4 linked regions of the Alligator mississippiensis genome follow. The protein of the gene in region 1 purifies or fractionates together with the protein of each later gene. This does not show direct contact. Links are inferred from orthologs where the notes say so. Each region holds a gene or a part of one and is shown in the gene's direction. Other genes may lie near its edges.

Evidence for each region. Proteins that work in one complex are often made in the same cells at the same time.
Region 2: the proteins of RAB7A (region 1) and PLEKHM1 purify together in Homo sapiens (affinity purification with western blotting; 5 studies listed by BioGRID and IntAct, with this or other methods). This does not show direct contact. The link is inferred for Alligator mississippiensis from reciprocal best matches to the Homo sapiens genes RAB7A and PLEKHM1.
Region 3: the proteins of RAB7A (region 1) and VDAC2 purify together in Homo sapiens (affinity purification with mass spectrometry; 3 studies listed by BioGRID and IntAct, with this or other methods). This does not show direct contact. The link is inferred for Alligator mississippiensis from reciprocal best matches to the Homo sapiens genes RAB7A and VDAC2.
Region 4: the proteins of RAB7A (region 1) and VDAC1 purify together in Homo sapiens (affinity purification with mass spectrometry; 3 studies listed by BioGRID and IntAct, with this or other methods). This does not show direct contact. The link is inferred for Alligator mississippiensis from reciprocal best matches to the Homo sapiens genes RAB7A and VDAC1.

What each region holds. Positions count from the first base shown.
Region 1 is NC_081835.1:19,832,114-19,840,097, forward strand, and holds the start of RAB7A (ras-related protein Rab-7a), read left to right. Parts: upstream 1-4,701; 5' UTR 4,702-4,807; intron 4,808-7,984.
Region 2 is NC_081827.1:160,284,070-160,291,620, forward strand, and holds the start of PLEKHM1 (pleckstrin homology domain-containing family M member 1), read left to right. Parts: upstream 1-4,429; 5' UTR 4,430-4,512; intron 4,513-4,540; exon of another isoform or gene 4,541-7,455; intron 7,456-7,480; exon of another isoform or gene 7,481-7,551. UniProt on the Homo sapiens protein: Acts as a multivalent adapter protein that regulates Rab7-dependent and HOPS complex-dependent fusion events in the endolysosomal system and couples autophagic and the endocytic trafficking pathways.
Region 3 is NC_081829.1:27,927,497-27,934,662, forward strand, and holds the start of VDAC2 (voltage-dependent anion-selective channel protein 2), read left to right. Parts: upstream 1-4,044; 5' UTR 4,045-4,047; coding exon 4,048-4,141; intron 4,142-6,537; exon of another isoform or gene 6,538-6,637; intron 6,638-6,725; exon of another isoform or gene 6,726-6,879; intron 6,880-7,153; exon of another isoform or gene 7,154-7,166. UniProt on the Homo sapiens protein: Non-selective voltage-gated ion channel that mediates the transport of anions and cations through the mitochondrion outer membrane and plasma membrane.
Region 4 is NC_081832.1:69,787,010-69,795,220, reverse strand, and holds the start of VDAC1 (voltage-dependent anion-selective channel protein 1), read left to right. Parts: upstream 1-5,089; 5' UTR 5,090-5,173; intron 5,174-8,211. UniProt on the Homo sapiens protein: Non-selective voltage-gated ion channel that mediates the transport of anions and cations through the mitochondrion outer membrane and plasma membrane.

The sequences.
Region 1 (7,984 bases):
AGCTGGATTAAACTAACATTTTTGAGTCCCATACTCCTGTGTCAGCTGGCTAAACTGCTGTTTCCCCTATGATTCCATATTACGGATAATAAAAAAGTGACACTTTGTCACTTCAACCACACAGGAACTGCTCCAACAACCTTACTGATACTGTTGATCTGTTCTTCATTTGTTCTATTTCTTCCTTTCCCACATTTTTAGTTCCACTTTCCCATCTTCTGCTTCCCCATGCCTTTCTGTCAGCTACCTTGCAGAAGTTTGCTGCACATGGGGGCATGTGTCCCAAGGTGTGAGAAACAGTTGTGCTGTAAGGCAACTGGAGGTTTAAAGGAAATCAATGGAAGGAGGTGTTCTAAGTGCTCCAAAGTGTCCCAAGTATTTAGCTTGGTAGACAGGTTAGCTAATGGAGACTGTTCGTCACAGAGAACAAGACGATGGTGGAGCAGATTTTTACTTCCTGATTTGCAGGAATTCATATAAGAAAATGTCTTGATGTCTTACGTCAGACAACCCAAAAAAGGACTACTTCAGGCTACCCAGCAAAAGGACCTGAATCTATTACCATGTATGAATGTCTGTCATAGGCAGGCCACCAATTCCTACACCATTACAACTGCAAAGAGTTGAGATACAGTTTCAAAAAGATCCAATATTCAAGGTTTGATTTGTTTTTAATTCTCAAGGAACTGGACAGGAAACACTGACTTCCTTCCAGGCTATGAAAAGAGTTTGTGCTGGCCAATCTCTTCCTAAGGGTTTCTGATGAACTGAGCTTTTGTTTTAGCAGAGCCTTATTTGTATTTTGGTTGATTTTGGTGTCTGTCGTTAGGATCCAAACAAAATTATCAGGATGCCTTGATCCATTCCTCCATCTGTCTTCATAACATCTTTCCTCTTTAACTTCTGTGTCTTTGAATTTAACTGCAACGTACACAACCAGTTGTGGTGCTTATATATGGCAAACGTCCTGTTCACTTCAATGGGAGCTGGATTGGAGCCCATTCATCTGATGAAAGGCAGCATTCCCTACAAGGATTAGCAAGCCACCATAAGAACATTTTTGCATGGCACAGCTGTCAGTTATGCAGAAAGAGAAACAAAGCAACATCCAAGCCTTGTGCTAGGTTTTTTTCTAACCACCATGTAATAAAAATATCCCACTGAAAATAAACAAGTGGCATTGTTGCCAGAATCACTGTACACCACAAGAGAAGGCAGGATTTTCCATTATGTACCATGCAGGAAAAAATAAAAAGAAACCTTTAGCAAAGTGGGCAGAGGAGCCCAACAGCTGTCCGGTCAGCGCTGGCTGAAAAGAGATTCATGGCAGTTGTCACTTGACTTCTGTCCCAGGGCAGACGAGCAGTTTAGGATCTCAGGCCTGAATAACCCAAAACAGGTCTTCCTCTGGGATTATGCTAAATAGCCTGGCACTGTGTTTGCAGTTCATCCAACATGTTACAGCCTTTTCTCAGGGGAATACACCAATAGAGCAACTGCTATAGTCACTCCACGCCTGAAACCCATGGCAAAATAGGCTCCATGGGGTGGATTTTGGTAGCACCATGTCTAGAGATATGGTTCTCCTTTGTGATTTCTGTCCTAGACCTTTTCACTAAGTCTTTATTCTTCTGTTCAATAGTCCATTACCCTAATTACCACCCTGTCCTTCCCGTTTAATGATCTCAGTGTGCTTAGTAACCATTAATAAACATCAGAACCCTATTGCAAGCAGGGTCATATCACGAGCAGCATCCTACAGATGGGGAGGCTGAGGCATAGAATAGGTAAATGGCTTATTCGGTGTCATGTAAGTCAGGGATATAACCTCTCTTGACTTTGAATCCTCTGCTCTAAGTGTCCCATTCAGTACCTCATGCAGGCGATATTAAATCTCTCATTGATTGCAATGATATTGTACCAGGTCTGAAGACCTGACTCTCACATAAGCCATTTTCATTTGGTTCCCTTTGCAGCAATACAGCCAAGATGCAGTGGATTCTGTGATGGATATTTTTTTTGACAGGGTTGCAAATCCCAACAGATTATAACGATGATAATAGTTTATTTGTAACATAATACTGCACTGCTCTTCTATCAGCAGGTCTCAATAGGTAGAGAAAAACCAGTGTCTTGATTCCTAAGTTTATTCTTTTATTCTTAATCATAAGCTTTTTCACCTCTTGCAGATACAAGAATTCAAGTCTGAATTAAAAATAATATATAGGGTTTTACTTTTTCACCATGCCTCTAAAGAACTTTGCTAAAATTATCTTTTACTTAATTTGCCTGGGTCCTTTTAGTTTTTCCTTTCCCTGATCCACAGGTTAGCTAACTGATCATGTGATTAAGATAAATACTATAACATATGAAAGTACACGCTGAATAATGCAATGAGTCTTCTACCAGTATGCATGGCAGGATATACAGGACAGTTACTGTTTCTTACACATATGGGTGTCAGTGAGCTTACACAATCCCATTGCAGCTCTTCTGCTTGTTCTTATATTAATCATTGCTTAACAAGTGCACCTAGACACGTTTTGCAGCTCACCATTTTTAATTTATAAGCAAATCTTTTACGTAACAAACTCTCTTGTTACCAGACTGCTATGCTCAATGTAGCACTTACAAACCAGCCTTGTAGAATAAAAATTAGTTCAGCTTTGAATCAATCTTTGTTTATTGATTGTTATGCTAGAAGACTGGCAAGAAATTGTGTTTATTTCTGTTTCTTTCCTTAGAAATCTCAAGAATGGCAAATTGTTGGTCTATGATTGGGGTACCTGGGTGCTAGGAAAATATAAATCAAATATAAAATAGCGATGGGTCACTGATTTTTTTACAAGCTATGTAGAATAGTAGCATTAGTAGTCAAGTAGTAGGTACCGTTTTAATTTCTTCCCAAATAAATCTTTAACATTTATATAATCATTGGTTTATCAAATAGCTTAATGGCTAGTCCAGAGAAAAGGCCTCTTCACTAAGGCCCAACCCTTATCCTGCAACCACTTATGCACATACTGAACTTCAAATATAAGAAATCCCACTGATTTGGGAATGCTAAAGTTTAAAATTGAGCACGTATTTGCAGGATCCAACCGTATACGTATAAGCCTTTATAACTGAGGAGGGTCCAGACGTTATGAGAAGCAAGTGAATCAACACTGACATTTTACAGCTATCTTGTCCTAGAAGTTCTGTTCAAGGATTTATCCTAATTCAGTGGTGATCCGCCTTTTTCCCTAGTGGGCCAGATGAGCAGTGCCTGGTCTGTCCACGGGTTGGATCTGGCTGGTGGTCACAATCCAACGCCCAGGGCAAGTACAGCCGTGGCTGCATGGAGAGGGAAAGCGGGGTGGTGGGGACAGCCCAGCCTGGCCCTGATCCAGCCGTGCAGGGGAAGGGAGCGTGTCCCAGCCCTGATCTGGCTGTGTTGTGTGATGGGCTGGGGGGGTCAGAGAATTTGGCAGCAGGGACCATATTAATGGCCACTGCTCCCCTGCTGCCAAATTTCTCAACCAGTTGGGAGCTCCACATTTGGCCCACATTTTACCCCCTGCTCTAATTTGCTTGTGCATGTCTGAGGGAAGGAGGATTATAGACTAAAGCATGAGATTTAAGGGGGGGACTGCACGCCTGCAGAGGTGCGTAGAGTCACAAGGGTTTTTAGGAAGGTTGCCAACTCTGAATCTATTCCAGGTTACCAAAATGCCAGCACACAATTCAAATGTGCCACATGCTTGTGTGTACCAGTCACACGTTACGGCGCTTAGACTTTACATCAGGAAGGCAAAAGCACGTTGCTGTTATGCTTTAAAAACTCACCGGACTACCGTATAAATCAAATTCAACATTTGATATTTCTTTTAATGAATGCCCTATCGTTTATCCCTCCGGTGCCCCTCAGCAGTCTCCTGGAGATTTACGTCTAAACCCTGGAGACTCCTGGACGGTGGCGACCCTGCTTTTTAGCAGCCAGGGTCCCTCGCAGAAGAGGCCGTGGAGCTGAGCAGCAGCAAAACCCGATACAGGGGCAATTGGTCACAAAGCTCGGCTTGAGCAGAGAGGAAGCAGAGCAAGAAATAAAGCAAGCAGCAGATTATGACTGATTTCACTTAATGACATTAGGATGCACGCGGGGCCTCGCAGAGCGCCAGACGCGTGCTTTTCCCAGTCCTCCTGCCGCGGGATTTGTTCCTGTCCCTGCCGGTCACGCAGCCGGCGCGTCCAGGGGCCTGCGCCAGGGACACGAAGGGCTGTCCCCACCAGCAGGTGCGGCCAGGCTGACTGTCCTGGGACAAGGCCACTCGGGCGGGGTCCTGCTGCGGGACAACCCCCCTGCCCCTCTTGAAGTCCCTGTGAGGGATATCAATTAACACGTGGCCCCGGGGCCAGTCAGGGCTAAATGTGCGTGTGAACCATTGTCCCAGCCTGTCTGGACAAGCCTTCCCCGGTCCCAGCAGCCAGCTGCAGGCGGCCACGGGAGTTACAGTTTTAATCCGGATTACGAGCGTCAACACGGGCACAAACCTGCATTGCTACGATACCCCGTCCCGCCCCACGTGACACACAAACCCCACCCACCAGGCCCATGCTCGGGCCCAAGATGGCCGGCGGGGGGTCACGTGATGCGGTCCCGACGCGGCCTCTCCCTTGCGCGCTGACGTTACGCGTCGCCGGGCGGGTCCCGTGACCGGAAGCTGGGGAGGGGGAGGCGGAAGTGAAAGCGGAGCTGTCGGGGCCCATTAAAGCGGAGCGGAGCGCAGAGGCGGCCACACTCGCAGTGCCGCGGCCCGACCAGACGGTGAGTGTCGCTGTTCCCTCCCTCCGCTCCCGGGCCTCAGGGTGGCGGCGCCCCCGGGGGACCCCGGGCGGGGCGGTTTGGGGGGGTCTTTGTCTCCTCCCGCGGGGGCGGTGCGGCAGGACCCGCCCTCTCCCCCCGCGCACCCCCCCCGGGTTTGGTGGACGGTTGTTGCGCAAGGGGCAACTTAGGCCTGCACGGGGCCCGTGGCCGGGGGTGGTGCAGCCCCCTCTCTCCGCCCGTAGGGCGGGGGCGGGTCCCCCCGCGGCTTCTGCTCCGCCTCATCTAGCCTCGCCTGTGCTCCGGCCCCGTCCCAGCCCAGCTGGAGGAGCGGATATTGTGTGTCGGGGGGGGGGGGCGAGGTGCTGGGGCTGAACAGGCAAGGTGGGATTGTAGCAGTGCACGGGCAGCTCAGAGCGGTTGCTGGTGTCTGGTGGCCGGCACTGGCTGTTCTCGCTGGCAGCTGTGTGTGCCTGACAAGCTGTAACCCAGTGTTGTTGGACCCCTGCCTGGGGCAGAAGGGCCTCACCCCCCAGGCAGCCCTGCTGAAGAGTGTGCGTGCCACTGCTTGGCTCTGGCTTTCTGTGTTTAATATGACTGACTTGGAAATACTGGTTTCCTTGGCTGTCAGTTAGTGGTGTCAGCCAGTGCCCAGTCTGGCTTCTACAGAGCAAGTGTGGCTGCCCGTAGCGTTTGCTCAACTGCTCCTAGTTACAAATAGGTCTGGGGTAATGTCAGGGTGGTCAGCTGGATATTGCTATGTAATTGAAGCTGTTGTATGCCATACCCTCTTAGTCAGGAAGAAGCATGCTGTTTTTCCCTTGTGACTTCAGCAGCTGACCAAACACACATGACTTGCTATCCATGAACTAATAAGACTTTGTCAAGGTATGGTGAATTGAGTGAACAAGGAAAGTATCCTAGGTTGAATGTTGTTCTTCCTAAACGAACCAAGCGCCAGGCTGGAGATGAAATGGCAAACACTTCTCTTGTGGGTTCTCTCAACTGATAGCAATCACAGGCCTCTAGTCTAGAGAAGTGCAAGATACTGTTAAACTGCTGAAATAAGCAGAACTGCTGTGAAAGAACCACAAGTCCTGTTTTTTTTTCCAACAGCCACCCTTGAACAGATGGGAAGAGTAATGGTGAAGACTCTCAGGAGCTAAGAAGTTAAACTAAGGAACTGCAGGCTTTTTGTTGTTGTTAGTCTTCTTCCCCCCCCCCGCCCCCCATGCCCCCATTTAGATTAAGTGCTGTTGTCATGATACAACTTTTGTGTAGCTATAAAGTAGCTTGAGGCAGAACGCTGGGTTTTGTGAAGCCTGGCTTTCAAGGAATTTTCACAAGCAAGTGGCAACATTTTTTGAGAGGTCTGTGTGGTAGAGTACTGCAGATACCCGTGATGGCTCTGGTATCAATAGCAGTTTACCTGTAGTAGCTATCCCGTACATACTAACAGCCCAAATCCAAAATCGACTTTTTAGGTGGGTTTTTCAGTACAAGATGGCACTACATCTGGATAGTTGCTGGGGGCAGAGCTAGCTTTGGCCTGTGGTATAACATGGGCACTGTGTTGGCTCAAAAAAAAAAAGTTATCCTGTTTTAAGACAAACTGGCTGCTGTAGCTTGAGTCTTACTTGCTTTACTGCTATGAACAAATGTCCCAAAGACAAGTGTAGTTTTACTGTACTTTGAAATAGACTTTAATATAAGTTTTTTGCACTGCAAGGGCTGCACCTTTTTATGTGGGTAGGCTGTTTCCTGTCAGGACAAAGTTATGGACAAAGTTTGTATATGCCAGATTTCCTCATAGACAATCGGGTTATCTTTTTCCAGGAATGTAAGTTCCAAATGAACTTACATTGGATTTCTCTTCTCTGAATGTGTTTCATGTTTCTGTGAGCCAGCAATTTGCAGACTGACATGGGCAACCCTGACTGGATGGGTGCAGAAATACAGACCTAATGCATCCCAGCAGAGGTCTAGAATGCAAGTTAAAGGGATAATAGTGCAGGATGTTATGATGCAGTTAAGATGGAGGGAGCTGCTGGTCCTCTGGACAGGTGGAGTTGCATAATGGCTGGAGTTGAATTTTGATATCCACTAGTAAATTGTGAACTTAAACCAATGCAATTCTTGCATAGTTTGAGACTAGTGTGCCTCTTCAAATCAATGCAGTTTCTAGGAGGGAATTTGAAGTCTAGAAGAGTTGTTTTAATGCTAGTATATAGTATCTGCTTCGTAGCCTTGCAGTCTCTACTGTAGACTTTTTCTACCCAAGCTTGACTTGTAACTGTCACAAGGGTGTTTATTATTGGTAACAGAAGTTGAAGAAACTGTGACAAAGAGGATACTCTTAAGGCTGAGATTTGTAGCATAATGCCTCTTCTGTCCTTGTTTAAAAGTACTGTTTTGGTTTTTTGTTTTTTGGGGTTTTTTTGTTTGTTTTTTTTTTTATTGCCCAGCCTGAAATGGGTTAAGTTCAAATAGTGTGTTTGTCTAAGTTTCTGATGCTAGAACTTTTATTTGGGGGGGGGATGACAATGCATGAGATGGCTGAATTGGCCTGGCTGCCAGAATGCCCAAAGTAGTTGGGACTTGCTCACTAGTTTATGGAACAGCTTGGGTTAAAAGCAGTACTTCTGCCTTGTTAAACATGTTGGAAAAATTTGTGCTAACCTACCTATTCGAAGGCAAAGTCATAAGGATCCAAGTGCTTTATAGTGTTCACATGTTCAGGTCAAACATGTTCTAGTCAAGCATGACACTGGCTTTAGCAATTGCTGTCTAACAATTGCCTGTTAGTGTTGGATTCTTTTTCTAGCTGAGTCTCTCTATTTCTAAAACCTGCTTCTGTAATGACTTCTGATTATGTAAGACCTTGACGCGCCTCTCCTCTTTAAATTTGGTTGGTTCTGGGAATTGCAGGAAAGTATTTAACTGTGGCTGCGCATAGTTACGAGTGTCTTAGTTCTGCAGTTATCTGACTCTGTTAAGCTAGCCCCTACCTTGCCTAAGGATTCCTAAACATTAGACAAGGTCACTGACTGTTAGCAGTCTCCTTGAAATTACAGGCAGCTGGGTTATGTCTCCCTGTCACAAGGTGCATTTACTTTCTCAAGATTCCTGCTTCAAATGCTCTTGTTGATCTTTTGCACCAATCTTGGAGATGCAGCTCCT
Region 2 (7,551 bases), on another chromosome or scaffold:
CACCTATAAGTTTATCAAGGGTGTTCACCAGGATCTGGGTGAGCGATTGTTCACCAGAGTGCCCCAAGGGATGACAAGGTTGAACGGTTACAAACTCCTGCAAGAGCATTTCAGGCTGGACATAAGGAAGAATTTCTTTACTGTCTGAGCCCCCAAGGTCTGGAATTGCCTGCCATCGGAGGTGGTTCAAGCACCTACTCTGAACGCCTTCAAGAGAAAATTGGATGTTTATCTTGCTGGGATCCTGTGACCCCAACTGACTTCCTGCCCCTGGGGCAGGGGGCTGGACTCGATGATCTTCTGAGGTCCCTTCCAGCCCTAATGTCTATGAAATCTATGAAATCTATGAGTTCCCAGGCCCCGCTCTGAGATCAGGATCGGGGACCAGGAGCTGGGAGTTCCTTATCTCCCCACCCCGGCTTCGCCACTGAGATCAGGAAGCTGGGGTCTGGGATATCCTTATCTTTCAGTGTCAGCAACGCAGTTGCAAAGCTGGCGGGGCGATAAGGATCTTCCAGCCCTGGCTCCGTGATTGGGGAGCAGGGGTAGGGAACTCCCTACTGGCAGAGTCTGAAGACTCTGTTCCCTGCCCAACTCTGATCGTAGAGCTGGATGGGAGAACAGGTGCAGGGCTGGGCAGGGAACAGACATGCAAGTTGAGGGGCCACATATAGACAAAGCCCCCCAATTCCCAGTTTTAGGCATATTACTACAGACCACAATGCCAAAGTCTAATGAATCTCCCCAGCAACTCTCCTCTGACTTTTGCTGCACTTGTCTGTCCTCAGCATTTCTGGAAATCAGTGGTGGGGCAGCTCAGTTTGGACACTCAGAGAAAGAAGACACATGCAGCTAGGCCTGGGTTCCCCAAGGAGCTCAACATGTAACATTACTTCCATGTGAATGCAGGGATTTGCCTGGGAGTACAGCATAGGGGGAGGCACACGTTGTGTTTCTGCTTTAACAATTAGTTCCTCTAGCATTTGCCAACCTTTGTCTTGGCCCCACAGCCAGAACTTTTACTCCTGCTATTAAGCATCTCCAGAGAGAATCTAGAGATCAAATTTGTTCATGCTCAAAGCACCTTCTGTGGCACTTTCACTGACTGGAAGACTTTAGCTGCCTCCCAGCAGCCAGAAATTACACGTAGACACTTGCCTGCCTTTTGCTGGCTGCCAGGGACAATTCCATACTGCACTTTTTATGCTCAGCAGCACATTTGGTGACCACAGCTAGAAGTACAGGGATCTGAACGTGCCTTGCAGTTTGGTGGTGACAGCTGCTATGTGCTGACTGAGCCTTTTCAGTTACCGCTACTGCTCCCTTGCTCAATCTCAGCCTGGCTGCCCTCACAACAGCTGAAATTTTTCCAATTTAAGAAGTCCAGGAAAAGGAAGATGCATCAGGAAAATGCCCTCTACAGAACTGACAAAGTTTTAAAATGAATTGTGCAAGGCAAGGATTCCTTAGGATGATGTCTTTTATTGGACCAACTGTACAGTTATTGGACCAACTGTAGAGCTGGACAAGCTTTCAAAGGCAAGGCATTCTTCATCAGATCTGACCAGAAGAGATCACAAGCCAAGCACAGCATTGTAAAAACCAACTATGGGAAGGGGTGAGAGAAATTTCCAGGGGTAGAATCACAGAAAATTAGCGTTGGAAGGGACCTCAGGAGGTCATCTAGTCCAACCCCTGCTTAAAGGAGGACTGTCCCCAACTACATCATCCCAGCCAAGGTTTTGTCTAGCCGGGTCTTAAAAACCTCCAACGATGGAGATTCCACCACCGCCCTGGGTAACGTATTCCAGTGCTCTACCACCCTCCTAGTGAGAAAGCTCTTCTTAATATCTAACCTAAACTTCCTTTGCTGCAACTTGAGACCGTTTTTCTGAAATCTGCCACCACTGAGAACAGCCTACTTCCATCCTCTTCGGTACCACACTTTGGGTAGCTGAAAGCTGCTATTAAATCCCCTCTCAGTTTTCTCTTCTCTAGACTAAATAAGGCCAGTTCTCTCAGCCACACCTCATAAGTCATGTGTCCCAGGCCGCTAACCATTTTCATTGCCCTCTGCAGGACTCTCCAATTTGTCTACATCATTTCTGTAGCGGGGGGCCCAAAACTGGATGCTACTCCAGATGCGGCCTCACCAGTGCTGAACAGAAGGGAAGAATCACTTCCCTTGATTTGCTGGCAATGCTCCGACTAATGCAGCCCAGTATGCTGTTAGCCTTCTTGGCAACAAGGGCATACTGGTGGATAATATTCAGTTTATTGTCCACTGTAACCCCCAGGTCCTTTACTTCAGAGCTGCTGCTTAGCCAGTTGGTCCCCAGCCTGTATCAGTGAATGGGATTGTTCAGTCCTACGTGGATTGAAAAAAAAGGCTCCAGGACCAACCCCTGGGACACTCCACTTGATACTGGCTGCCAACTACACATTAAAGCCATTGACTACTACCCTCTAAGCCTAGTGATCTAGCCAGTTTTCTATCAACCTTACAGATCATTTAACCAACCTGTACACTTCCTTAGCTTGCTTACAAGAATGTTGTGGAAGACGATATCAAAAGGCTTGGTAAAGTTTAAGGTATGTCATGTCCACTGCTCCTTCCCACATCCACAGAGCCAATCATCTCATCACAGAAGGCAATGAGGTTGGTCAGGCATGACTTGCCCTTGGTGAATCCATGCCGACTGTTCCTAGTCACCTCCTTCTCCTCCAAAGGTTCTTAGAAATGGATTCCTTGAGGACCTGCTCCATGATTTTTCCGGGGACTAAGTTGAGGCTGACCAGTCTATAGTTCCCTGGATCCTCCTTCCCTTTCTTAAAGATGGGCACTATATTTGCCCTTTTCCAGTCTTCTGGGACCTCTTGCAATTAGCATGAGCTTTCAAAGATGATGGCCAGAGGCTCTGCAATCACATTGGCTAATTCCTTCAGCATCCCATCCAGCCCCATACACTTGTGCATGTCCAGATTTTCTAAATAGCCCCATACCTGTATTTTTGCCACAGTTGGCTGCTTACCTCCTTCCAAAACTGTGCTGCCAGGTGTACTAGTCTGGGAGCTGACCTTGCCTGTGAAGACTGAGGCGAAAAAGGCATCAAGTACTTCAGCCTTTTCCTCATCGTCTGTCACTAGGCTGCCTCCCTGATTTAGTAATAGACCCACAATTTCCCTGATCTTCCTCTTGTTGCTAACATACTTGTAGAAACCCTTCTTATTACCTTTCATGGCCCTTGCCAACTGAAACTCCAGTAGTGCTTTGGCCTTCCTGATTTCATCCCCGCATGCCTGAGCAATACTGTTATACCCCTCCCTAGTTGTTTGTCCAAGTTTCCACTTCCTATCAGCTTCCTTTTTGTGTTTTAGCTCACTGAAGGGTAGCAGGCATACAATTGGCAGAACAAAAGCAGCTCATCACAGCGAGATCACGGTCTATCAAAAAGAGACGAGGGTCTTCCTCACCTTTCACGTGTGGAAATGTGTCACCCTAAGAAATCCTGGCATAATTTATGGACCATCATGACTACACAATCATTAAGATAACACGTGTCATGATTTCAGTTACACAAAGTGGTGAGTTTGGGGTGGGGGGAACACACATGTGAATTCTCCTAATATTTTCAGCCAACTCCCCTTTGCACCCTTGTGCAGCATCAAGGCCAGAAACAACCACTCTGATCAACTGGTCTGCTCTTTGGACAGCACAAGGCTGAGACTTCCCCCCTCAGATTCCTGGGCCAGCCCAGGCCCTTTGGGGTTGAGATGGCGCTTGTCTTTTCAAAAGAGAGCTGCCCTGGATTCAAAGATTCAAGCATCAGCAAACCTCCCATATCCCCACGCAGTCTGCTCCATAGCAAATGACCCACCCTGCCGAATCCTGGTTGGGGCAGGAGAGTTGTACAGGGAAAGCAACCTTTTAGACCTGAAGCATCCTTGTTAGACTCGAGGCACCCCTCAGAAGTTGCTGCCTCTCCACTTCCATAGGGTTTTTTGATGGCGGCAAAATAACGGAGCAAGTCTTCGGTCTGAAAGCCGCCTTTGCGACAGGCGCCAACATTTTTGCCATGACGGAGGCCTGCTGGACGCCTGCGGGTTTGTCTCACGAGTAGCCCACGGGTGTCGGTAGCCAGCCCCGCTCGCAGCGCCCGCCGCACGCACCCGGGCAGGGGCTCAAATCAGCCCAGCCCGGCCCAGCCCAGCAATGCTCCGGGGGGCGGCACCGGAGGCCCGCCCCGCCACGCCCCGCCCCGCCCCGCGCGCTGCCGGGCTCTGCGCTGCTCTGGGCACTGAATGCGCGACAGCCCGGGCGGCCCCGCCCCCCCTGCGCGAGCTCAGCCAGTGGCGCCGACCAGCCGCCGGGCGGGAGCGGGCTCGGCGGAGCCCGGAGCCCGGAGCCCGGGCCCCGCCAGCCAGGGGGCGGGGCTCTGCGCCCAGGCCCCGCCCCGCCCGCCGGTCACGTGGGGACAGAGGTCTGCGCTTCCGGATGCCCACGCCGAGCCGGTGAGTGCCGCTAGCCCCGACTGCTGCTCTGCTTTCTGCTTCTCGCCTTGTGCCCCCACACCGTCTGCTGCGCTGCTCCCTGCTCTGTGCTGCTTGTCTGTTCTGCTCTCTGTTTCCTTTCCTGTGCCTCTGCCCCACCTGCTGCTCTGCTTTCTGCTCCCTGCCCTGTACCCCCTGCCCAATCTGCCGGGCTCTCTGCTCCCTACCCTGTGTGCCTCCTGCCTGCTCTGCTTTCTGCTCCCTGCGCTATGCCCCCGGCCTGCTGCTCCGCTTTCTGCTCTCTGCCCGGTGTGCTGCCTGCCTGCCTCATTTGCAGCTCTGCTTTCTGCTCCCTGCCTAATCTTGTGTTTCCTGGTAACTTTGTTGTCGCCTCTCCCATCAGCCGAATGTGCAGGACTCCTTTTCTCTTTCACAAGCGGCAAATTACTAGCAAGCTTAGAGTGACCCGGTTTCAAATCCTGAACTTTGCTGTGAGAGGAAAAGCTGTGGGGACAGCAGTCTGAGTGATAGTCGAGGAGTCAGCTCTTCTCTCGGCTTTTCTCAGCATTTACTTCTTTTCTGTGGGTTACTGGTTCCTTTCTCCCCTCCCCCTGCCTCTCTCTCTCTCTCTCCTGTTGGAGATGGCACTGGGAGTCTTCCTTCTTTTAGGGCTCCAGGGCTGATGACCTGAGAAGCGTTGTTTCAGAAGAGGAGAGGAGTGAGTTTCCTTTGCAGGCCTGGTGGTGCACAAAAGAACCGTGGGCCACGCAGAACCACCGCTGTGCCAAGCTGCCCAGTGATGCTTTGAGTGGGGCACTGCTTTGTTGGCTCATGGATGTTGCTGATCTCTGCATTACCTTGCAGAGCTGAGCTGGTGGAGCAGTGGGGAAGAGCCACCTTCCCTGCCAGGAGCTCCCTCTTTCCTCCATTGCCCTCTGCAGTTAATTTGCTGAAGCTGCTCTGCCAGCAAGTCCACCCCACTCCTAACCCAAGGGCAGGAGTCTGGAGAGGCTAGGTGTTCCCTTGCAAGGGACTCTTTCCTTCTCTTTGCTTAGGATGCATTCGGTAGAGATTGACCTTCCATTTTGTGTGGTGTTACCTGGCTTGTGCTCCATGAGATGCCAGGAGATGGCTCTGCAGGTGAACAGTCCTCCTCTGCTTTTTGCTCCACCCATCATCCAAGTGGAGCTGTGCAATTTGTGGGGTGGAGAGAATAAGTGGCCTCCAACTCATCACAGATGTAATTGTGTAGCTTATTGCCCAGTGATCTTACTGCCTTTGCAAAGCCCTGTTCTCTCTCTCTCTGATGTGAGCCTTTCAGTTCAGAAATCCTGCTGCTTATAGGAAAAAGCCTCTGAGAGGGACTTTGTTAAGAAGGAAAGCTCAGAGGCCCAATATCTTGCCTGCAGGACTGGTTTGTAGTGGAGTCAGTTAACTCTGAGACCCCTGCTCAGAGAAGTTGAGTCTCTTTTCTCATTCCCCATGAGCACTAAAGCCTTTCAAGTGAGCATTTCTCCATACCTGGAAGCTCCTGTTTTTTTGGAGTTTATGGTCTTTATTCTTGTTCTTTTCAAAGTCATTGAGAGCATCTGGGAGGCAGGAGAGGAACTGAATTGGCAGGTAAGTCTTGAAGGAAGGCAGTGGTCTGTTGATATTCTCAAGGCTCTCGGGGAGTGAAACTCGAGTGGCACCTGGGTGGGGAGCCTCTTCCTTCTCTGGGGAGCAGCAGCATAAGAGCCTGGTCAGAAACCTGCATTGTCATTCCCTCCTCACCCACACACACACTTCACTCCAGAGCCAAAGGCCGTCCTTCCTTCACTCTTCTGGGCCAGCAGTGCAGCATCAGATGCCAGTAGCTTCTAATGCTCTGTTGCATTTGCTCTGGCAGAAAAGAGAAAATGGGTCTCATAAATTATGAGGGTAGTATGACGGTTTGCTAAAATGGATTGAAGCAGATTGAGACAGTCCTTCCCTCCGTAGGTGGAATTTCAACATATTCAGGTTCATGATAAGTGGTTCCCACAGTACATACTTACCTCCGTGTGGGACAAGAACAAGGTACCTTCTGTCTTGCTGTCAGACTTCCTGATTTGCACAGGCACTTTTGTGTGGACGATTTTATCTTGGAGAAGGTGAGGCTGCTGTGGCGATTCAGTTGATGTGGACGCCTGATGAAGGGTGACATTTTACTCTAATGCACACATGCAGTTTGGTAGAGGTGGAGCTGGATCTGCCTCTGGGTCCCATGTCGGTCACTGCAAGCATACGTACTCTACTGAGGAGTTGTATAGCGAGTGTACAAGAGGCTGAGCACACGCATGTGCACACACTTTTGTAGTTTCACAGTTTACTTGCCCTTCTATTTATTTTTCTGCATGAGAAAATTCTACGTTTAAAATAGTTGTTAAAGCTGGGCAGCTTCTCTCACAAGTCAGGAAATGAATTTAAGCTTAAGCAACTCACCTCAACTCTACTTCCTTTTGCCATTTGTATCGTAGCATGGTCATTTATTTTTCTGATAATACAATCTAAATTCTCAGCTTGGTTAGCTAACCTGTAACATCATCAAAGAAAATCCTCATTCCAGTAGTTCTAGTTTCATGCATTCCAGTAGTTCTTTATTTTTATCTTCACATCACTCTGGAAATGCATCTAAATCTAATAGATGCTCATTTTCACAATTTTTTTTCTAGTCTAAATTGGTTCTTTTCTTTGTGCTGCAGGGCCAATGTGAGATCACAGGAAGTCTTCAGTTGCAGCCTTAGCTGTCGTTGTTGCAAATTACATATTAGCTGAATGCATAATGTTCTGAAAAAAACGTGTCTTTTACTTTGTTTGAGAAATGTGTGGTTGTGTAATGGGAGGGCACTGTTAAATGTTTAGCCTCTTATTTGTATTTCCTCATTGCTGTGCAATCCTGGAAGAAGAGTATGTGGAGTGCGTCAAGCATACAGGTGGAGGCAGGTAGGTTGTCTGATTGGGATGGACCAGGAGTGCACACAATGGCAGTTGCAGGCTCTTAAGCTGAAATTGCTGCTTATGCTAGTAGCTACAAGTAAT
Region 3 (7,166 bases), on another chromosome or scaffold:
GATTTATTGCATATCATTTTATCTGTGGTAACTGCCCACACACATCCTCTTATCCCATAGTAAGTAGACTTAAACTGCAGTAGCTTAGCCTTCAGCAGAGGAGGGGTAATTACTACAGTTTAGCCTGTATTTCCTGTGAGGCAAGAGCATGCGTGTCCATAGGTACTGCAGAGCTGCTGATGTAGTCAATCGTTGTCCCCCTTTGTTATATGATAAGTGGTTTATGTGCATGTACCATTACTGTGGGGATTTTATGCAATTAGCACAAGGAATGTTTGCTTACTGCTGTGTGATTGGCTCATTATTCATGTAATTTGTCATTTTTGATTTCCCTTTTGTCCTCGGCCCCTGTCTTTTTATTATCTCATCCGTGTTAAGCATAAAATAATGCTTATTCTTACGTGTTGGTGCTGCATCACCTGTATTAGTATATGTATCTAGCCACATGGTGGAGATACTGAGACCTCCAAGAATACAGGCTGCATTAAGTTAGGTAAATCTCAGAACTCTGAAGAGGCAGGAGGCTAAGACTTTCTCCTGTGATGGCAATCAGCATTGCTTCCATCTCTAGAGGAGTCCAGACTTGTGTAAATGCAGAAACTTCCTTTGAGAACACTCTAGTACTCCAGTTTTGCTTCCTAGCTGAGCTCTTAACCCTACAGAAACGTGGCTAACCTTCAGTTCTTCCTGTCTAATTTTATCAATTTGTTCCGAGTGGGTTGACTGCATTTTCCTCACCATTACAGAAAGTAGACTGGTTAGTGCCATGCTACCCATCGGACGTTCAAGCCAGCATAACGGAGGCATATTTAGGGTGTCTGTGATTGTGAAAGTTCGTTGCAGATCAAGTAAAATATTGTAACATACATTCTGTTGGCATTAAATATAGTTTTACAAGTTCTAAAGTCATAGCTTAAATCTTTGGTTTACACTACTTTGTGTTCCTCTCCTGGTTGGCCATGCCTCACCAATCAGCTGGAGAGACAGGTTATAGTAAGGCTGGAACAAACCAGCGTGGAATATGCAGCTTTCAACTCAGCAGGAGGCAGAAAGCCGTAAGTATTGTACAGAAAAGACTAAAGGAGACAGTAGCAGATTGGAGGGGGTTTTATTTGATTGATCAGAAAGAGAGTGCTTGGTCACTGGGAAGTTGGTGAAGCTCAGGATGTGAAATATTAGCACTTGGTGATGACCTCAGAGAGAGGCTAAGGAGTGACTGGCCATGAAGTTTCATTAATTGTGATCACCTAGTCTGGCTTCCTGCATAAGACGGGAACCTATTATGTTTGGTAGTGGAAAGTCCACTACAATTATTGGCAAGCTGTTGCAAAGGTTAACGACCCTAACTCGAGTGTGGGCTATATTTCTAGTCTAAATTGCTTAGCTTCAGCTTATAGTCGTTAGCTCTTGTACCTTGTTTTGATAGGCTGAATATCCATCTATTATCAAACTTATAGTTACACAGAAAACAGAAAGTGAATTGCCTTCAGGTCATGGCTATAAACTGACATATGTTGATAAGATAACTTCCAGCTTGGACAGTAGCATCCACAGATCAGACATGGCATGTCTTAGATACCTGCCCCATGGTACTGTACTGCAACAGTATAAACAGCCCCTGCTGTCTCTTAGTTAAAGATGTTTGTCATTAATGAGCCCCATGAAATGTGCATGACTAAAGTGCTGTTGCCTTCTTGTCAATAGTGTTGAAGTTAGCAAGGGTTAATGGGAGGGTAAGAGGAGAAAGGAGGCTTTGGCATAAGAGTTTCAGTTCTTAGTATGCACGGTCTGACTTCTCTTTAACACAGACTCACTTACAAATGTAATGTCATTTAGAAGCAGAGGTCAGACTACAATGTAATATGCAAACTGTTTCGACCTGTGTGACCTCTGCTTTTCCTCTTGCCCATATCAACAGCAAGAACTAATGGCCTTCAGAAAAAGTTCCCTCCAGGAGAAAAATCCCAAAATGGCAAAGCGATCTTGTTGAAATAATATAATAAAATAAATAAATACATACATACATAAAGATTTGGGGGTTTATTTCAAAATGGGAAATGAGTTGCTTAAAAATTCAGCCAGTATACTACAATCTTCAGGGTGTTCAGTAGGAACTGCTCCCTGGGTGCAGTTTATAGCTCAATAACTTGAAATGGCATGGGTCTGTGCTTACTCATGCAAGTAGGCATTGCCTATTTAAACATTAATAGCCTGCTGAAGGGGCATCCCAATAAGATTGCTTCTTGAACTTCAGTCTACAACATGCTTGTGAATAGACACCAGAGATAGCTGGAGTGGCGTTGCCTGAATATATCCAGATTTGGAGTATGCAGGCAGGAGCGGGTGGATGGGTGTGCTCAGGAATGTCCTGGCTGGAATATGTTGCGGTTATGTATCCCTAAAGGTCCTGTATTTCCCTCTCTTTGTGTGACAAATATAAAACAAAAGTGTCCAGAGCATAAACCTACTAGAATGTTTGGGTGATGGGAGCAATAACACCACTATTTATTAATTTGCATACAAGTCTCTATAGAACTATCAGGTATTAGGTACAGTTTCCCCACTGGTGGTTTTTTTTTTTACTCCAGAATAAAATGAATAAAATAAATACACAGAAGGTGTTCTAGAAAGTGTATGCAATAGGATTTGGGGAAGATTGTTCCCCTAAACCTCACACAACAGAGGCGATGTCTAACTTATAGATGGAGTAATCTCAGTAAAATCCGTAGAACAAACCATATGAGTGCAATTTCACGCTTTGTGTGCAGGGTGATGGCTTCAGGCACCCTAGACATTTTACAGGAAATGGTTACTATGCAGGAGAATAAGCTTAGCAAGTAGGTTGCCAGCTGGGATGAATAAAGAGAAATTCATTCATTCAGATCAATCATTCATACTACTGCAGGGAGCATATCAACCTCAGAATTAACCTCTTGCAGCCTTGTACAGTTTTGGACTATATGATCTCTGGAAGTCCCTTTCAGCCCTATTTTCTGCAGGGAGAAGTCTCACTGAAGTAGTAGTGCCTTCTGACGTAGGACCACAGAGACACACAGTAAGTAAGGGGAGCTCTGCTCTCTTATGAAAAAAATCAGTGGTCTTGCCAGAAAACAAAACTCTGCAACTGGAGGCTTAGGGAAGGTTTACACTCATCGTTTCAGAAGTCCTGCATGGCTACTTCCTACTCATATGAGCCTTCAACATATAGCCTGTACATTACAAATATCAAGTCCCAACAGTTAATCATGCCATATATTCTATTATTTCTCCTATATTATTTGGGAGACATCTTATGGCATATTTGCCTTAATGGTAGTTGCAACCAGCTAAATTCATTAGCATATCTAACATATACCCAGTTCTTACCCCATGTGGAGAGGGGGCGGGGTGTAGGCACTGAAAACAGATGTGTAGTATCCATATATACAGAAAGTTGTATTAGACAAAGTAGTACCAAAAGGCATGGTTAAAACACAGGCTTGAGAACCTAGAGATCTGAAATTCTTCTCTTCAGTTTTTTTGTCTGAAAAATGGGGGTAATATCTCAAGAAGGCAATATGAAGCTTAATTAATTACTTTTTAATAAAGAACTGAACATGGCTAGTATGTATGCAGTTCAAACAGAAGTAAGAGAGGGAAATTCCCAATAGTACAGCAGGAGTGAGAAGTACTCCTTCTGTTTGCTGACTGGTCTCACAGGTGCAAGCCATTGCACACATTTCTTATAGCAAATTCCATTATTCTGCTTCAGTGAATTAGGGAACCTGGGCTTCTCTGAACCAGGCTCAGTTTTGACAAGAGAGTTCTATTTGCATTTATATATTTACATGTAGTTATTTGAAAGCTCTTATATTTTGTTATCAGAAAATCTTGATCCCTTTAAAAGCAGAAGACTCAGAGTGTCCTTCCTCTTCAAAAAGGCCTTAAAATAGCTCCTCCTACAAGGGGCAAGGTCTTACCAATGTAGACAGCTTAGAATCCCTAGAGTTTTATAGAGCTGCAGCACAGCAGTACTTACTATGCTTGTTCTCTAAGCTATAGGGAAGAATGTTAAGGGATATGGAGATCTCACTAGAAAGGAAAAAGAAGAAGGAAAAGAATCGGTCGTTAAGTAAAAAAAAAAAACAACACAAGAGAAAAAGTAAGTATGTGTGTCCCCAGTTGGCTATTAGCTTCTTCTCTGAAGTTTCTTATTTTCTCATTCTTTTTGCTACAATAGGATCAATTAGAATGGATCATGCCCATACTTATACAAAAGAAGCAAGCAAAATTTACAGTAAGCAGCAGTATTAGTACTTACTACAGAGCCAAAGTGATTCTCCAGAACTAATAGATTTCCCCTAGAAGTGGTGCAAGCACCTACTCTGGATACCTTCAAGAAATACTTGGATGCTTATCTTGCTGGGATGATCTGACCCCAGCTGACTTCCTGCCCTTTGGGTGGGGGCTGGACCCGATGATTTCACGGGGTCCCTTCCAGCCCTAATGTCTATAAAACTAATGGCACAGAGACTTCCCTCAGTTCAGACAGGATGCAGAATTTCAGAGCTCTAGGCCTTCCTGCAGCCACTCTGTTCCTTGAATCCTTCTCTTTCCTACTCCCAAAACTCTGATGACCTACAACATTTTAAAAATCTGCTGCTGTTATTGTGAAGGGCTGGCAACATCTGCATTGGCACCAGTTCAAATTAACTGGTACAAACACCTGAATAGACGCTTATTTTTTTTTTTTAAATGTTTATCTTAAATCTGTTCCCAATTGGGTTAAATTAAAGTGAAGAAGTCTGGTTTAAATAAATTCTCTTGCACCAGTTTAACTAAATTGGTTTAATTTTTTTATCTGTAGCTAACTTGATGCAGCTGAGGTGGTTGACAAGCTCTTAACACAGATCATCTGTTGCGATCCATCTTAACCACACAGCTCTGTGGGGTTTTTTAGGTGTCTGGGGTGGGGTTTTTTTCTTGCCTTTGGATTGTCTTGATTATTGATAAATGCAAGTTTGAATTAGTGCTTTATTGTTAATTTATTATATTTGTATTCAACTTTAACTCCAGCTTCGTTTTACATGCTTAGCATGATGGATATGCAGACCTTATGACTAAGCTAGTAAATTTTCATATCAACTTTACAATGTGGCTTCTGTGATCACTTTTTCCACCAAACCCAGGCAGGTTTCACTGACAGCAGCCTTGTGCACCCTGACAAAGACTTGCAGTGTGTGTATGTAAAGTGGTGCTGACTAAGAAATACAGGCTGTAGGAAATGTGTGAATGGTAAAGATAGTTGAGGCAAAAGTAAGACCGTATACACATTGGTGAGTATTTACAGAATGATGGTATCAGAACTAGCCAAACTCTGAGAGGGCTACCTACTTATGTACTTTTTCCTTTCATGGCATATCACCACTGTAGCTCCAGTGACCATCCCCTTCTCTTGGAGATTTAGGCAATGAGGGGTGGTTGAAGGGTTTTGATCTCTTTATGCTAGCATGTTGATACAAGGGAGTGTGTGCGTTCTTTCTTCAGATACAGTGTATATAACATCTAGTAAGCCAGATGATTCATTATTGTTCCATAAGGGTGGGGCGGTAATTACTTGTATTTTTAGATTCCTTAAAATGATGCCAAAACATAACTAAAGTTTTAAGTTCTGAATTCGGGAAGGTACATTGTCCATTTTATATAAATATATTCTGAATGAATAATGGCTTTGAACAATGGACTGTTATAGGCAACAATCAGTATTTTACTTTAATAAGACCCCTATTTCTAATGTATAGTCCAACCAGTACTAAAGCATACTGATTTTTCTCATTCCCTTTTCATCCCAATTTCCGTTCCCTCTTTTTGTATGTTCTCTCATGAGGAATTCGCCTAACTTCTGCTATACAATACTTATCTTCTGTGTCTAAATGTACTAATCTGTGGGGGCTTGGGGGGTGAAAGCATTTCTGTTGGAAGGGGAAACTGCATTGAGGCATGTCTTTGCATGCCACTTTATGGGTGCTGAATACTTCATACCCTACTGCCAAACTGCTCTTTGGCCCACTATTGCACTAGTGACTCAATGATTTCAGCTGTAAGGAGTGTCATAAGGCACGTTGCACTACACTGACTGCTGCAGAACAGTCGTGTGATACTCCGTCTAGCTATTTTCCACAAGGGATCTCCTCAGCCATCAGAGAATCGCTGCAAAAAGTTTTTTGTTTTGTCAGCATCCTGATTTTCTTTAACAGTTTATGGTAATTTAGGACTAAAACTTGTAAGCGAAGAATCCTAGCCAGAATATATACACATTCCAGAAAAGACTGAGGACATCTGCCTTACATGATGTGTAAGTGCACTAGCAGTATCAGGGCACCCACTTTTCATGGTGGGAAATCAGGACAGCGTAGGAGGGCATCCAGAGCGTGGTGCTAGCGAGGTGTAAGGGTTAACACAGTTAACACAGAAGGCTTTTGGTGCTGGAGGCGAGGGAGAACTGTGCAGTAGGGATGGTGAGAAGGAGGGTGGCAGTAAGACAGGCCAGAGGCAAGCTTGTAATCCTTAAACTACATGTTTATTAGTGATCTCTGGTTTAGCTCCCTACAGCTCCTTCCTGTTGCTCCTAGGTGCAGCCTGACTTCTCTGTGTATGCCTAAAAATAAATGCAATGACCAGATTTTAAAGCAAAACCAAGAAGTCCTGGGTTTATTTTGTTTCACCCCCTTCTGCCCTTCCCCGACCTTTGACTCCCCGTGAGGGGACAGGGCCATCATTTGGGTAATGTTTTAGGCCCGGTGCCGATGGGCGCTTGCTTATCTTCATTTAAGGCTCGAAGGGCAGAGATCTTTCCCCGTGGGCAGGAGGCCTGCTTGACTTCACTTTCCGCTGCCTATTCTGGAGAGCCCGCGCGTTAGTGCACACAAGGACATCTCCATCCACCCACACAAAAGAGTACCTCCTACCGCGCGTGCGCGGAAAGGGGAACGCGCTTCCTCCGAACAGCCCAGCCAGCCCACGCGCCTCCCTCTGAGCCCCGCCCCTCTCCCTCTGGTCCCTCTAAGCCCCGCCCCTCCCGCGGCGGGGCCTGAAGGACCCCATGCCTGCCCGGGGCTGCCCTGCTCAGTGCCTGCCGGGAGACCGCCTCCCCCCAGCCCTGAGCCCCGCGCACCCCCACTGGGACG
Region 4 (8,211 bases), on another chromosome or scaffold:
TTTTGTTAGTACCTGTTATTACAAATACTACACTTAATTAAACTAAATATTAAACTTAAATATTAATGCGTAGTAACCATAATGCATTAATGCATGTGTAGGTGTGCCCAGTGGGTAGGTTTTGTGAAAGACAGTGGATGTAATGCAACATCACAATAAGGAGAGGGAGCAAGAGAAGCTGGCTGTATAAACAGATAAACAGTGGTCCTTGCTTCTATGCAAACATAAAGATATGTGGAACTTGTGGATAGGCATTAAGAGAGCACCATCACTTATTCTCCCATATGATCTGTTGGGAGTCTGGTGTCATACAGAATGGAAAAGTCAAGTCCCAGGGAAAAATGACAGACTGGTCTCCATGAGGAGTCTTAAGAGACAGATCCATTATTATTATTATTATTATTATTATTATTATTATCATAATCATCATCACCATCATCATCATAAAAGATTAAACTGCCTAATCTTATAATTGCAATCCTGAAAATCCCCACCCAATTGCCACCTGACCCTGGAGGCACCTCAATTCCAGAGATGCCTTACTTTTGATCTTTCCATTTCCACGTACCTAAAATTCCACTACTCCATATACCAAGAAGTGTCCTGGATTTGAGATGCTCCAGGAATTTCTCTGTTTGAGAAAGCTGTATTCTCCATATGTGCCATTATCCCTCAATCTGAGTGGCAGCATCTTGCCTAGCTCATGCCTAAACCAAATCTGCGTCTAGAAATGATTCATTTGTCTGCTTGAGTCCCCTGAGGGACTCAGTCCTGTAGCTCAGGGGTGCCACAAGTGACACAGGCAGCCTCTGTGTGTGGCACATGTCAGATCAGGGAGTGGACAGGCAGCACTGTGGCAGATAGGACAGGGAGCAGAAAGCAGAGCAGCAGTTTGGGCAGGGGAAGGGGATTGAAATGGCACTTGGGGAGTGTACAAGACTAATTTATGGCATACCTGCCAAAAAAGGGTGACCCCAAGTGCTGTAGTTGTTCTCAGAGTATGGTTGCCACACACACTCAGGCTGGTACAAGCACAGTGCCAGTTGTGCCAGCTGTCTTTCAAAACGGAACTGGAGGAGGTGGTGCCAGCCCAGAGGTTAGATCACTAACCCTGGTACCTAGCCCTAGGTACACTCCATGCATGTACTCAAGGTATACTTTCTGCTCGGTGTGCTGCTTGTTTTAGAACTCATTCTGAGGCACCTAACTCATCCAATCTGCTGTATAGGGAGCTCAAGCACCGAACACAGGTTGTATGTGCTGGTCTAGGAGCCAGCTGCCTTAGAAGTTAAGTGTGGCAATGCCTTCATTTTAGTTACTTAAGGGTTTTTTTGATCTATCCTAGGAGACTTTTCTATGGCCAAGTCTTGCATAAGCCATTTTATAAATGGGGTAGAGCCATCTGAGAAATTCTCTTATAAACAGATACCATCAAAGTGGCTCATGGAACTATCTTAGGCATTTTTATAGTACCATCAAATCCTTTCCAAATGCTACTGATGGTTAAATGCTAATATTACTTATGTCTTAGTGAGTCTGATATAATGTGGGAGACGATAAAATTTACCAGAAGGGCATCGAGGAGCTGTTAACTTGGCACATGAATACAGAGACTCTGTTTTTAGAACAATTAGGCCCCAGTGGCTGTGTGTGGGCACCAGGATCCACCCATGCAGAGCAGCTAACAGAACTGGGGCCTTAATTTGGAATCTAAAGTTGTGCACAATTTATAAACTGAGCTGCTCCTGGCAGCAGGAAAACCCATTGCTGTGGCAACCGTAACTGTGATTAGTGAAAATCAGAGGCTCTCCCTCATTTTCAATTCATAGGCATTTAAAATGTCTTGTTCTGAGGTCTGCCAATGCGGGAATCAAAGGATGATTGCCCTGACAGTGCTGTTTATTCATAATCTTTCTCCTCTCCCCTGCTCCTTTTTAAGGTTGTTATTAGCGACGCCCAAAAATTTGTAATAAAGAGCAAAACCAGAATGAGTTTCCACTGGTTCCTTTCTCCACTTTGGTGTAAGTATACCAAGAGAGGTGTTACGGGTTACCGTTAACCATTCTAAAGGCACTTAAAATGAGAGTGTCCGCGCATTAATGGGTGTTAAACTGTGTTAAGTTTAAGATACTCTCTAAGTATTCCCCTTACGCACGTGGCTGTATTCCCCTTATGTACTATTATTCTTGCCTCTGAGTGGAAGCCAATATTCTAGGCCTCGTGGGTTGTTTCCAGTTGGAGGAGGAACTGATGACAGAGCAAGGTATTTCTTTGATGCAATCCTGTTTATTAAAAGGTCCTGTTTCTCTGAACGTAGGACAGTCGCGTGGCAGGAGGCAGTTTGCAGAATTCCAAACCTCTTCCCAGGCAGCACTCTGCCCAAAGCAGTTTTCTCTTGACTGTGCTTTTCTCGTCATGTTCTTGCTGCTTTTTGTCTGCTTTTTTCTGTCTCCAACCAAAGTAATCTCCAATTCCTGTATTTGACTTCAGTTTAGTAACATAGATGGCAGTTTCTATTGGTTTGGTTATCACTAAACAAAATGATCTTTACTTTTCCCTTCATTTGGCGTGTATAGAGGATGGCCACTGGCCAGCATGCCCAGCATCTTGAAATGTCAAACCTATTACCTTAAATTGCCATAGGTATTGTCTTGGTGTGAAATGAGTCCTTTCTTTGTTCTTTGATCCACTTCCACTTGTCAGTACTTACTTTAAGATCCAATGTGGAAAACCAGATTGAGTCTGTTTACAGCATCTAGATTAACATCTATTTTGTCATAAAACCTAAGAATCCTTCAAAGTAGCTTCATGTTATTTCAATAGTTAAAATAGAATGTGCTGTCATTATTTATCTTAAGCAGAAACATAGATAAGGCCCAAGATCAGACTGAAGTCTCAATTATCCCTTTCTGATACATTTTTAAATAGCTTGTAAAGCCTTGTTCTCACTGGTAGAGGATGAGGGGCTGACTACTGGACAGAATTCCTCCTATATCAGTTTTGAGGTAGCCCAGTGCAGGACAGTATATGCTTTACAGGACTGCTGGAACAACTGGTTTCTAACCAGAAAGTCTCTTAGATCCTTTTGCTGCTCCCCATTTAAGTGTACAGCACTGGACCCAGTCCAGTGGAAATTCTGCCAGCTCAGCTTTACCTCTTTCTCCCTTTGTAGTTTTCTTCTGTGCCAGCATTTCCTAAATTCATTCTTCACAATTTTTTAGTATTAGCTGCTCATCAAGAACATTCAGCAAGTGAACAGAAATCCATTTCTACTTCATTAGAACACAAGCAGCTAAAATTCCCCTGAGACCCTGGGTCCCAAAGCCCCCTGAGACCCTGGGTCTCAAGCCCTCCCCATCTTTCCTTTCCTGTTATGGTTTCTGTCCTGAAGCAACAAGGTAACTTACTGTAGGACCAGTAAAATAACTATTCTGCATTTTTTTCCTCCAGTAGAGACAGTGATTGGAAAATGGAACCAATTCAAAAACCGGGGAAATTGGTTTTGAAAGTAAGACTTCTAGAATTTCAGCAAGAAGTCTGAATAGCCAAGATAGAGGATGAGCTAATAATTGGTTTGGATATCATATGTAGTTAATAACCATGTAATTAAATGCCAGGAAATGTGTCCAACAAATTAACTCAGTGGAAATTCCTTTTAAAGAATTAAATGAAATTCAGTCAAAAGCAGCCAGGCAGTGCACAACAGCAAGAGACAGAAAGAGGAGGACTGGAACTGTAGTCTAGACCTAATACCAAGAGAGGACACTTTTTTGGGGGCAGAGTGCTGCTGTGGGAAGAGGCTTGGGATTGTGAGCCAGAAAACAGTTTCCTAGAGTCCCTGAATAAAGTAGGGATGAACACACATCTTTTTGTGTACACTGTCTGGAAATAAACCAGACTAAACCAAAGAAATGCCCGACTCCTATATCTGCTTCACTTCCTAAGGAAACAACCCACCATCAAGTCCTGAATATTGGCAACAGAGGGTAACAGAATTGAAACTGGCCCTACTTTCTCAGCTTTTCTCAGTCCTTTTGTATATCCTGGCGATGATATTGGTACTGGCTATGCAGTAGTCACTGATACCGAGGGGGACCGCCTCTGCAGAAGCTTTCCACCTTGCCCTGAGGGTGGCGAGACTTAGGCTCTTGCCGGTCATTGGTAGCAGTGAGTTTCTCAGTTGAGGGCCTTTCACCATAAACACCCTTGCCTTTGGCTCTGAGAAGTTCACCCGAGGTTCCTGCTCGTCATCCTCACCATGGCTGCTTCATGACCTGGAACGGGAAGTGATGATGTAAAACGCAACTATCTCTATAACTTTGGACTTCGTCTACTTCCATATGCCCTTCTGCTTCTTCCACCGCTCCTGGGAGACGGCCAACACCCTTTAAATAAAACCCTCCGGCCAAAAATGCCACCGAGTCCTCTGAAACCCTGCCTCTCTCCCCCCGAGTACTGACACCACCCTGCTGTGCAGGGCCGTCCTTCGGGTACGGCGCGACCGCTCTGAGCCCCGGAGAGACTGCGGCCCCCACTGCGGGACCTGCCTGGAGCTGGCGGCTCAGCCCCGCGCCGCGGGAGAAGCACGGAGACCTCTCCTCGTTGTGGGGGTACCACGGCCCTGCCACCCTGCTAGGCTCGGCTCTGCTCCTGTGTCACCCTCAGCGCTTCCTTCTCACCCACGGCCCCGTCTGCCCACCGCTCTCTCTGTAGGCCCAAGGTCCGGTTTGACTTCTCCTCTTGATTCGGGACCACTTCGCCCCCCGACTCGACGGCCGTCTCCTGCTCTCGGCCGGCCTCTCGCGCCCACCGACCCTGCATCACCGCTCAGCAGGAAGAAGTCCCCATACCCCAGTGTCACCCCCCCGTCCCTTTCTTCCCCCCACTCCCTTGCTGGTGCTGGGCAGCTCCTTGGACCCCTGCCCCGGGGAGGGGGCAGGGGGAGCTTCCTTGTCGTCCAAGATTGGGGGGAAAAAAGCACATCCTGTTCCCCTTCCACCCTGCTGCGCGGTGCCAGGCCCGCCCGCATCCTCCCGGGCTCTGCCTCCGCCTCCGCCCTGCTCCTTCCTTTGCCCGCCCCCGCCGCTCAGAGCCCGGCTGCAGCCGCTGCAGCGCCCGTGCGAGCGAGCGAGCCAGCGAGGCAGGGAGGCGCCTGGAGCCCGCGGGGCCGCAGGTAACGGGGCCGGGGGGATGCATCCCGGGGCCGGGGTTCGCATGCGGGTCCTGCGCCGAGCACCGCGGGCTGGCGGGCGCGGCCCGGGCGGCGGCGCGGGCTGGAGGTGACCTTCCCGCGGCGCGGCAGGGCCCGGGAGGCCTCGCTGCCCTGACTCAGCCCCTGCGCCGGGCCCGCGGGGATGCTCCCCGCGCCTCTCCATCGGCCTCAGGCCCCAGGGAGCCTCAGCCCGCGCTTCTCCCGGGGGCCAGGCCGGGACACACGTTTCGGGGCCTGCGTAGCCCTGGAGGGGCTCATCCAGGTGGCACAAAGGTCTGTCCATCGCGTGGCCGCCGGAGCCCCCCTCACTTCTGCACGCGTAGCCTCGCCTTCGCCGTTCCCGGGTCCGGAGGGAGCAAAGGTCGCCGCGGCTCCACCCGCAGCGCCGGCCCAGCCGTGGTGTCGGCCGGTCTGACCCCTCGGTTTAGCCCGTCCGGGCCACCGCCGCCGCGTGAGAGACGCGGGCGAATCGGGCCGAGCGAGTCCTCGCCAGAGCGGGAGAGAGACCAGAAGCGAACGCGGGCAGCGCGCCCTGGTTGCGCGTGCCGTTCAGCATCGTGTCTTGGTTAATGTTAATCTGGGGCAAGGCGCCTGTCGGAGGTGAAGGGGTGCAGGTCGTAGCCGTGTTGGTCTAAGGACACGGGCGGACAAGGTTCTTTGGGTGAATCTCAAATCTTTTATTCGCCCAGCTTCAATAGTTGGAAAAAAATATTTAAGCAAGCTTTCGGGTTCGCCAGGCCGAGTCAGAGGTGAATTCCCTTTCTGTGGGGCAGGCACCGCAGTGGGGAGCAGCAAGCGAGTCTGCCTCTGCCTAGCAGCAGGTGGGCTGGAGATGTACCTTGCAGAGGGACTAAATCAGTGCCCTCGCCCCTCTGCCTAGTCACAGCCTGGCTTGGACCCACTCTTTCCAGTGGTGGTAAGGCGGCTCAGCCAACATGGTCCCTGGCTATTTGTTAAAGCAAAAAACCACAGCTCCAAGCGGAGCAGAATTCACCGACGCTGTTGGGTTCGGCCTCCCGGGATAGCAGTAAAACCGAGTCCATGTTGGATTTGATGTTGCCCAACAACGGCAGAAGCCATGTAATTCAGGTTGTATTGGAGGATCACAGAAAATTTTGTCTTCTCATTCATGTGACATTTTTCAGACTTTCTCTGAAGACCGACTTGTACACTGCAGACCTCTCAAAAATGCCACCCGGAACAAGAAAAAACAAACTTCATGCAACTCCCTACTTGTTCCTTTCATTTTTACCCATCCTTCTCTGTACTCTTTCTCTGTCGTCTTCCTACTCTTCTGTCTGATTGTATGGTGGGGCCTGAACGGGGTGGCCCGGATCAGTCTGTTGCTATGGCAGCCGGCGATGTCCCCGGTTCAGGGGGTGACTTTCCTGTAGGAGGAAATCTGCAGGATCAAAGCAGCGAGAAGGCAAATCCCAAACAGGAATTTTGGTGATTTAGCAAATGAAACGCACGCTCATATAAGATTAAATATGATAAATGCTTTTTTCTCCTGGGAAAGGAATCAGCAAAACAATATATGCTGGAGGACCAACATTTAATGGGTCCACTCCTCTGATGTGGGTGTGTGTAGATGACATGGTAGACATCGTATGGCATAAAGAGTGCCTGGTGCCCTTGTCAGGGTCTCACTGCTACCCCCTGTGTCTTGATACCTGGTGGCATTGTGCTACACTGGTGCTGTAACAGTGTATCTCCTAGGCTAGCTGGGCCTATTATTCCACTGTCTACCAGACTGGGGCAGGGAGAATTGTATCCCTGGCTTTGGTTTAATATATATCTTAAATCATACAAATAAACAGGAAAAGGCTTCAGTGAAATGAAGTCTGTATCTACTGCATTTTCACCTGTAGAATCAAGAGCAGACACTTTAAAAAAATTTCCTTAATTCCCTAAACACAGATCATTAAACTAGGTTTATACATATGTGCTAAAGGTCTCCTAAAAATGTTTATTATTTGATAAATCCTAAAGAGAGAGGAACCACTAGTATGTGGAATACATCAGTATTTAAGGCCTGTTTATTTGGTCTGTCATGTGTTGGTTTGGGGTGGTTTAAAACATGTGTGCTAGCTCAGGAAACTACCAGTGAGCCCCTGCAAACTGTTTCATGAAGTCCGTGGGGTGCTGCGGGGGCTCAGGAGCATGCTTGGGTACAACAGCTGGCTGGCTTCAGGCTTAAGTTGGAAGTCACTGTGGTGACTTAGTTATATGGCTTCAGTGGAGTTGTACAATTGTGCAGAGTTTATGCTTCAGCACTTAATTCATGTGTAAGGCAAAGCGTTCACAAAGTGTGTACCTAGCTCCAGATTCTGGAGAACCTGATGTGTGGGTTTAGTTGAAGACATCATTTCAGTGGTAGTGCTGGTGTTTTAAGTTGACCACATGCAGAAGTCGTGTCAGGATTTGGCCCATAGGGCCTGATCAATACCTGAACAGACTTGTTTTTTGGACAGGAGCTGTAGTTTGAGGCACTGATGGCTGTTTTCCGTGTAGATCGTTTTTCCATAGGAACAGAGGACTGAAAGGAGTGTCTCTGGCCACTAGATCCAGTCCCCTGCATTATCTGCAAGCAAACATTTACCTACAGGTGCCAAAAATGTGCATTCCAACCCTCGCATGCCACAGCGACAAGGCACAGCACCAGATATGCAAATAATCCCCTGTACAGCAGTTCAGTGTTTTGCAGTTTTATGGTACAAACTACTACCCCTCATTTTGTAATATTATTTTTAATTTATGAATTAAACTTTGGCCCGAGAACCCAGAACATTGCTTACAGTTGTGCCTCTGTGCACTTGAAGATCATTATCCCAGCTGTTGAATCAGATGTCTTAGGTTTGTGGATCATAAGGCACAAACCAAGGTGTTGTTCTGCCTTCTGGTCTGCACAGGGAGATTGTAATTTGTCTCATAATCTGTGGTTTTGTATTGCTGTGATGTGCACCAGTCACTCGTTGTTTAGTGAACATATCCTTGGC